Linked DNA regions of Xenopus tropicalis. The protein of the gene in region 1 purifies or fractionates together with the protein of each later gene. This does not show direct contact. Links are inferred from orthologs where the notes say so. Each region holds a gene or a part of one and is shown on either strand. Other genes may lie near its edges.

Evidence for each region. The genes of interacting proteins can lie anywhere in the genome.
Region 2: the proteins of ecd (region 1) and tssc4 purify together in Homo sapiens (affinity purification with mass spectrometry; 3 studies listed by BioGRID and IntAct, counting the BioPlex papers as one, with this or other methods). This does not show direct contact. The link is inferred for Xenopus tropicalis from reciprocal best matches to the Homo sapiens genes ECD and TSSC4.

The regions. Positions count from the first base shown.
Region 1 is NC_030683.2:38,362,437-38,366,958, reverse strand, and holds the start of ecd (protein ecdysoneless homolog), read left to right. Parts: upstream 1-1,535; 5' UTR 1,536-1,667; coding exon 1,668-1,674; intron 1,675-1,892; exon of another isoform or gene 1,893-1,914; intron 1,915-1,938; exon of another isoform or gene 1,939-2,048; intron 2,049-2,108; exon of another isoform or gene 2,109-2,246; intron 2,247-2,366; exon of another isoform or gene 2,367-2,457; intron 2,458-3,598; coding exon 3,599-3,814; intron 3,815-4,522. UniProt on the Homo sapiens protein: Regulator of p53/TP53 stability and function. Inhibits MDM2-mediated degradation of p53/TP53 possibly by cooperating in part with TXNIP. May be involved transcriptional regulation. In vitro has intrinsic transactivation activity enhanced by EP300.
Region 2 is NC_030680.2:22,340,796-22,345,143, forward strand, and holds the start of tssc4 (protein TSSC4), read left to right. Parts: upstream 1-1,377; 5' UTR 1,378-1,550; exon of another isoform or gene 1,551-1,625; intron 1,626-1,648; exon of another isoform or gene 1,649-1,973; intron 1,974-4,217; 5' UTR 4,218-4,290; intron 4,291-4,348. UniProt on the Homo sapiens protein: Protein associated with the U5 snRNP, during its maturation and its post-splicing recycling and which is required for spliceosomal tri-snRNP complex assembly in the nucleus.

The DNA.
Region 1 (4,522 bases):
TCGGTTCAGATTCATGTCTTAGTAAATGTGCCCCCTAGTGTAGAGCAATGGCATTTTTTTTTTAACCCTAACTAACAAAGGTAGTGCCAGTTGGGCAATTATGGATGTACATAGGGAATTTATTTATAGATTAAAACTAATAAAGTCCATAATTTCCCAAAGGAAAATACCTTTGCTATTATATATAAATAAGGCTTGTTTCCTCCTGCCCCTACTTTTTTCACATACACACCAACTCACATTGCATATTACAATGACATTACACATACATCCTTTTACAGTAGCTCAGAACCCATAATAGAGTGTTATTACAAATGCACATAGTTCATATTTTAAGCATTCAAATTATCACCCCCAATCTTTCCCCAACTGCCTTTGGGCTGGGATTCCAGGACTATTTTGAAAAATAAAATAAGAAAAAAACATTTATCACAAATCTCCGAACTGGCCCTCATGCACCCCCATACAGGACCAGTAGTGATAGGGGTGCATCATGACTTAAATTAGGGTGATTCCTGAAAAAATCAGGTGAGTTGGCAAGTCTGTATGCGACAAAATGAGAAGGTCTGAGAGCATGTCTGTGTAACTGTTTGGTATGTGGCATGATCTACTTTGGAGGTATTTTTAGATATTTCTGCCCAAGCTGAATTCTAGATAATGCTGTATTGCATCCTCCACCATCCCACCAACATCCAAATTGCAATTCAGCAACTGCAAGAGTTCCACATTCCTGCCTTATGAAAATATGCCCATCTGTCCTGCAATGCCAGCGACCCCATGCATGCAGTGTACCTGCCTATGGGTGCTTCTGTATAAAGCACAGGACAAAGGCCAAGATGGTGGTTTTCCTGCAGATGCCCCATTGCTGGATCCTTTTTGCCCAATTTCCATACCTAACAGGCAAAAAGAAATCTGGCATCTAAGGGAGGAGGGAGACAGCCAGGTGTATAGTTTGAAGACAGGACAGACCTACAGAGCAGCGGGGTGCTGCTTGGCCAGAAACCCTGGTGGGTTTGGGCTGAGCCTTACTATGCACCTACCCCACACCCTATGTATCATGACAAGTAAGAAGGGAGCAGTAGGGACAGTTTAACTAATCCCTGGTTCCTGTTACCAAAACATGGTCCCTCCAAGGAAAATGTTGCACATATCTTACTACAGCAGTTTGGCCACGCCTACCTTTAATGCCACACCCACTTTAATGTGTAGCTTTTTGTAACATTAAAAGAATACTTTGGTTAGCCACAAAATTTGACATTTTACTTCCTGTGTGCCCTGGGTACCATTATCTCACTATACCCCAGATTTGTCTTCTCCATTTTATCTGCTACACTTATGCCATTATTTCTAGTTTGTTCTTTCCTCACATTCAATTCAAATATTACCATAGGGCTCAGTCTGCAGATCTCTGGCAACTCAGCTGACATGCTTCTGTGCAGCTCTCCCCTCCCTCTCCCTGTAGCGGCTCAGCCACTTCCTTTACACTGGCTCACAGACAAAGCACAAGAGAAGCAGTCCGTCCCTCATCCCTCTCCCTCAACCTGTACAAAAAAATAATCTTTCACAAGCCGACTCTATACGTGATGGGGAATGCAGGAAACTAACTGCAGGTCTGAACCGGAAGTCAAGCAATCACAACAACCCCATTTTTGTGCGGCGTCCTAAAAATGAATGGTAATGTTATTGTATTAAAACTTATACTTGTAATGTTGCATTTTCTGCATGATAGATATGTTATTAGAAGTGTTTAGAAGTGATATTTAATGTAAAATGTTTCCTTAACATGACATATCCCAATCCTAACTTCCTTTCCCTACGTGTAAATATGCCCCATCATCTGCTTCTTTCTATTTTTCCCACCTCCTGGTATTTGTTTTGTTTTGCATTTTTACCTCGCCCCCTGCATGTTTATTGGATGTATTTTGCCAGTTTCCATACCGTCTAAAATGCAAGAGCTGTCATGCTTTTTCTCTTGTCAGTTCTCAGCCCTTTCTCCTGTTCCATAACAGAACGCTGCTGAAGTGAATGTCAGGCCTACTACCCCTTTCCCTCTCCAAGCTTGTGTTGTAGCCCCGCCCCTTCTCTGATGTAACAGGAGGCAGAGTTTCAGACATGATAGAAGTTCGGATTGGCCCAACAGCAGTAGGCTGAGACATTAGGCTAGAGGAAAGGGCAAGAGTAACGTGGTGTTACAGATGGGAGTGAGGTGGTGTTCGGCTACAGCAAACTAACTGCAGGCGCTAAAGGTATCATTATCTCATATTGGGAATTCTTCATTCGCCATCATTCATATGAATTGCGCGCAGCATTAGATCTTATTCTGCTGCGCATGCGCCCCAATCTCTCACTTGCTTTGCAGGGTAAAAACACGGCGATTTTCTATCCCTTGCCGAGGGTATTACTATGTATGCGCCTCAACTAGGCTTAACGCAAGTGATTTCTGCTGTTAGTTGCAGAGTAAGCCTCCGCTTCACCTCTATTAAGGATTATTTTGGCTACAGCATGTATGAGAGCTAAATGGCGGATACATACTGTATTGGATATATTTAGGAATGGCAGTGGGCTAGTTTCTCTTTGCAGCGTTTCATTTTGGGGTGAAACAAGAGCCATGGACCATTTATGCCAATGATATTGCTTTGCTTCAAGGTTCTGTTAGATTCTTCCTTTGTTTTAATTGGGGATGCAACAAATCCAGAATTCGGTTCAGGATTCTGCTAAGATTCTTTTTCAGCAGGATTCGGCTGAATCCATGCCTTTGGCCAAATCAAATCTGTATCCTGAAAAAACACCGGAGTTGAACATTGGTACTAATACCTTATTCCTGTTGCTGTCCTGGGAGAACACATTACATCAAAACCCTCTTTCTCAGAGTCTGTGGCGTAACTAGCATACAGTGCCTGGACCGTGGGGCCTGCTATATAGTAGTGCCCTTCTCCTGTCAACTAAAGAACTAAAGCTTCAGAGGGGCACAGCACCCACCCCAGTGCCTCGCATGCTGACCCCCACTTGCAGTGGGAGGACAGCCCAGGGCTGGCACTTCACTTAGATTGCAAGCTCTACGGGGCAGGGGCCTCTTTTATACTGTCTCTCATATCACATGGCACTTACTCCCGGTGTATTTATATTTATTTATTGTATTTATTATAACACTTGTCCTCCCTGTGTGTAATTTTGTATATTGTAAGATTGCACAGCTCTGCATACTCTTGTGGCGCTTTATAAATAAAGTTATACATACATACATACATGCATACACTGAGTTGAACCCTTGCAAGGTATTGGAGGAAATATTCTAGGAGGCTGAACTGTCAACAATTTGGTACATCCCAACAAAAGGATCTGTACAACAAAGGATAAAGCAGTTTGAGATTGATTATACAGTGGCTGAGCTTTGTATGATATTAAACATGTGGCACATCACTTAAATATAAACAGTTGGAGAGGTCTCCTGTCCAATTAACTTCTTGAACATTGGTCATATCTAGGATGAATTCTGTTGCCCCAATTACTTTTGTGACAAAAGAATATAGACGGTTTAGTCTCAGCCTGCTTAAACCTAGATTATTCATTGTAAATATTTACTTTTTTTCTATTAAAGCTTCAGCCAGCATGGATGGCAACAAAAAACTGGTTGTTGTGGAAGACTTTGTGGAGTATAAGTTGTATATGGTGACCCAAAAACCAAGCGATGCAGAGACAGAAAGAAAAATTCTTCAGGAGTATATAGAGCGCATACTGGCTAAATTTGCACCATTACTTGCTCCTTATATCTGGCAGAACCAACCGTTCAATCTGAGATATAAAGCTAAAAAAGGTAAGGCTTTGATGAATATATTTATTGAGCAAAAATGATAACATAAGTACATAGGAAATAACTGCATGTTTAATTGGCAACATTTTGCTCCACTTCAGCAAACCATAGCAACTAAGCAGCAGCAATTATTTAGTGGTCTAATTCTGCTAAAATTATGATAACAGTGGTTTCTTTGGTTGTTCTTGGGCAATGTTGCAATGCTAATACTTAACCTACCAATTCATTTGACTTACTTTCACCCTTTTGTGATATATTAAGCAATTTATGTGGTTGCTGGAGGTGTTAGCTTGAGGATGTTTTCGGTTTAGAATAAGAGATGACAGAAGGTAGAGGAATTATTAAAGGAAAAATATACCCCCTTTTTAACATGAACTCATTTGGTTGGGCTTATTTAGAAAAGGTGCATACATTGTACCTGAATTTCCAGAAATAAATTAAAATATATTTGTTTTTACACAGTCATACCTGATTCCACAGATTGAATGGAAACCATGATAGCCTATTTCTATTTGCCATTTTCCCACCTCCTTAATTTTAACAGTGTAATTCAACCCCTCCCTCACCTTGTTCCATTGTGAAATGATGGACTCTACTTTTCAGAGAATCTGTACACCACCCAGTGTGAAAGGCAAAGGGACTTCAAGTCCCAGAATCCATCATTTCACAGTGGAACAAGGTGAGTAAAAGAGTTACATTACACTGTGAAAA
Region 2 (4,348 bases), on another chromosome or scaffold:
TGCCAAAGAAGAAGGGCAGAAAGCCTGGGCAAGTGGTGATGATAGTGGCATAGGTTACCTTAGTAACCTAACTTTATGGAGAGGAGACTCAGCTTTCCCCATGGCCAAAGAGGGACCCAAAGAGACAGGGGACCCAGTAAAAAGCAGCTGACATTCCCCATTCACAGCCCCTATGGCCCATGGGTGGTATGGGGGTGTCCAGAGATCCCAAGGTACACCCCTGGCTTCACTGTATTGGACAAGATTATTCAACTGCTTCACAGGTGCCAAAGAAGAAGGGCAGAAAGCCTGGGCAAGTGGTGATGATAGTGGCATAGGTTACCTTAGTAACCTTAGTAACTTAACTTTATGGAGAGGAGACTCAGCTTTCGCCATGGCCAAAGAGGGACCCAAAGAGACAGGGGACCCAGTAAAAAGCAGCCCACATTCCCCATTCACAGCCCCTATGGTCCATGGGTGGTATGGGGGTGTCCAGAGATCCCAAGATACACCCCTGGCTTCACTGTATTGGACAAGATTATTCAACTGCTTCACAGGCCTCATACACAGGCCAATTTCAGTTGCCGATATTTGTCCTTTAGACCTTGCCAACAAGCGGATCTTACAGTGTATGGCCCCCTTTATAATCAACTTGGTTCTCAGCTTCTTTTCTTACACAATACCCAGAAGTCATGGATACCATTACAAATCACAAGGCACTAGTACCCACCCAGGCGGCACACAATTATTTACCTACTGGGCACTTAGGGACCTAGACTGTGGGCCCCGCCAACAAGTCACCAATGGAAAAATAAGAATAATGGGCAGCACATGCATAACCAAGGCCCTGATCAACCCCAGTCACATCCCATTAGAGTAAAATCTTGCCCACAATCCACCTAAACCCTACCCACTCCCCCTGCCCTTTAATGACCAGTGAATCCTTCTTCTGGAGCCCCCTCTGCCACAGGGCCTCTGATTGCAGCACCCCTTTACCCCACTGATGGCAGCCCTTCCTATAGTAATTGGAAACACAATTGCAATTCTCTGCCCATGGCTATGATGCAGGCTACATGTTTGCTGAGATGTCATTTGGGGCAATGTAGTAAATCATAAATATCCCCATAGACACTGTATTGCCTGCTTATATAGTAACCTGGGATCCCTATGGAATGGGTTATTCTAGGTGCAACCATTAAGCAGAGATCATGTAAAAGCACTGCTAAATGCCAATTTGAGAGGGGAAAAAAGTACATAAACTTTCATAGAAATTTCTTTATTTTCCAATTACACAAATACAACTTTCCCCATTCGCGCCTTTAGCCTCGTTTGCAACACACACATGCAGTTGGAAGAACACCCCACTAGAGGGCGTTCTGAAGCGCCGCCCCCAACCTCGCACACTCATTGTTGTTTAGCACTTCCGCGTATTAGCGAGGTGCATGCTGGGAGGAGGCAGATTGAAGCCCGGGAAAACCTTATGGCTTGTTAGTTTGCGGTATGGAGGAGGCGGAGAAGAGAGAAACCATTATAGCTGAGCTGAGAGCGATAGAGAGCAGCGCTGCCAACCTGTGAGGCCCCGCTAGTGTGAATGGGAGAATGGTGACTATAGCGTTAGGCCCAGGGAGACAGTCACATGATGCAGTGTAAGGCGGCAGCGGCCCTGTGGATGTAGCGATCCGATTAGGGATATCCCTGCGCTCCTTCCTTGGTACCGCCATACCGGAAGTGTTCTGGGACGCGCATCCATTAATACCGTCCCGCATTTGTGCTTCAGGCATAGCTTCATGAGCCCGCACCTTGCCTGGCTGGCTGGGAAGGACATATAATGTGCAACGTTTGTTAAATATTTTGAGTGTATCTATCGGTGCTGCCTTCATTCTGGGGTTCCACTGTGACTTCCGGTATCACCCCAATAGGGGTGGGAGTTATAAATAAATCTCAACTTGAGGGTAGTGAGTTGGACATTGATGTAGTAAGCAGGAAAATATAAGGTACAGACTGGGTCCCACAATTCGGCCATATGCAATGGAATATTCTCCTGTTTGGTTAGAGATGCCAAGAAAGGCATAGGGAAGGGATTTTACACTAGAAGGAGCATCCCTGCTGGGCTCAGTAATGGAAATGACATGTTGTACAGTTCTGCACCTCACTTGGGTGGCGGGAATATCAAGGGGGCGGGGAATTAGAAGCACCCAATGACTGTCCTTAGAATACATTCAGACGTGTGATTGGATGATGGAATTGCATTTCTTATTATTAGAGATCTTTCTATTAATGTTGATGTGCCCTGTCTCTGACTGCACTGCTAGTCCTAACTCTTGGGAATGGTGATTCCTTCATTATTTATACATTGTCTGAATTTCTCTTTCATATTGGAAAATGCAGTCATACCTCCCAACTGTCCCGCTTTATGCGGGACAGTCCCGATTTTGCCACCCTGTCCCGCTGTCCCGGATAGCTGCAGATCTGTCCCACTTTTAAAGGTCTCTGCTCCCGTGACGCCACACGCACGTCTCCCCTTAGCGCCACAGCTTCTGCGCCGCTCACTTCAGTTTTAACATAAAGCCATTCACAGTGCAGCAGCTGCGGCACTCAAGAGACGTGCATGTGACGTCACGAGGAGGAGAAGAAGAGCCCTGGGGCACAGCCGGAGGAAGCTGGTGGTGGTAGGAGCAGGGGGTGCCACAGAAAGCAGGTTGACGCTGGGGAGGACACTGGAGGAAGGTTAGGGGCAGCTGGAGGACCCTGGGAGGCAGCTGGAGGATGCTGGGGGGAGCTGGAGGATGTTGGGGGAGCTGAAGGATATTGTGGAGGATGTTGGGGGGAGCTGGAGGATTTTGGGGGGAGCTGAAGGATTTTGGGGGGAGCTGAAGGATGTTGGGTAGGACGCTGGGAGGAGCTGAAGGATGTTGGGTGGATGCTGGGGGCAGCTGAAGGATGTTGGGGAGGATGCTGCAGTGGGGAGCAGCCCGTAGTAGGGGGACACTGCGGGAGGACCAGCAATGTTTTAGGGGGTCCCTGCTCTAGCGCCAATGCAAAACATAACACCTGGCTACCAATGTCTGGTCATGAGTTTGTCATTAAATACAGGTGCCACAGTGCATAATGAAATCCTTAGGGCCACAATATGTCATAAAATGATTGGGGCCACCGTGTCTGTCTTCTGGTGCACTTTGTGTATGTTATGCTTTTCAGGTGTGGTTTTGTAAAATGGGCCTGTTTGGGGGGGGCGTGGCCATAAAGTGGGCGTGGCCTAAAAATGTTGGCTTGCGCGCCAGACATTTCTGTCCCTCCTTCTGCTTTTCAAATGTTGGGAGGTATGAATGCAGTAGCATTGCTGGGTAGGCTGGCATGTTCCCATGATTTACTCTCTTATAAATACAGTCAGTGGCATGAATTTATATTTTGTGTTCGTTAAGTGACTCCTCGCTTTAGTGTTTTACACCATAACATTCCATTACACCTTTTTAGTGATCAAATTAAGGTGTTCTTTAAATTCTAAAATAGTTACTCATTTGCCTGTTATGGGACATCTATGTGTCTGTAGGCCTACAGTTCACCCTCTGTATACTGCCTGGCTGGGGTTTCAGGCCTGCCTGCCATTGCAAAGAGGTGGCCATTTAATTGAATTGGTATAAATGAATGTGGTTTTTGTCAGGAGAATCTACTTGGCAGTTAGCAAGGGAGGTGCTATGTGGGACATATTAATAGGCACCCTTGCAACTATTAATCATTTATTGGTGCCTATGAATTTACCTTTATAGATTCTAAGGTATGAAAATGGGTGGACACCCCTAGTGCCAACTTCTAGTGGCTCTGGTGCTGCTTCGGGATGGCAGAGATTTGCCAAAGTAAAAAATTCTTCCATGGTAGCTTCTATATTAGTCTGCATGTAATGTAAAATATGATGATGATGTTATGAATTTCGGACATGTTGGGACTCGATGTGAGGGCCGTTTATTTGGAAGAAATGGCCGTGTAGCTAATGTTAGGCTCTTCATGTAAAACTTACTGGCAGACCTTGCTAGGGTTGGCACGTAGTTGACAGGAGACAACTTGCTGACACTTGATGTGAGTGAGGACTGGTTATGTGGGATATATGTCTGTTTCAGTGGATATAATGAAATCCTAGCTACCGCAGGCTTTTATTCCAAGCAGAGGCTTTTGTTAGAACTTGAACACCAGTTAAAATGAACATTGAAGGTTCATGTGTGTCTATTTTTTTTTCTTCCTAGGGTGAAATCACTTAGAATATTGGTGGAATTCACAGACCCTGAGAAAGGAGAGCTGAGCCAGGCACAGGATAAGGTAATTGATTAACTGGGGAAAGAATAGCACTTTTTTTTTTTTTTAATTAAAATCAGTG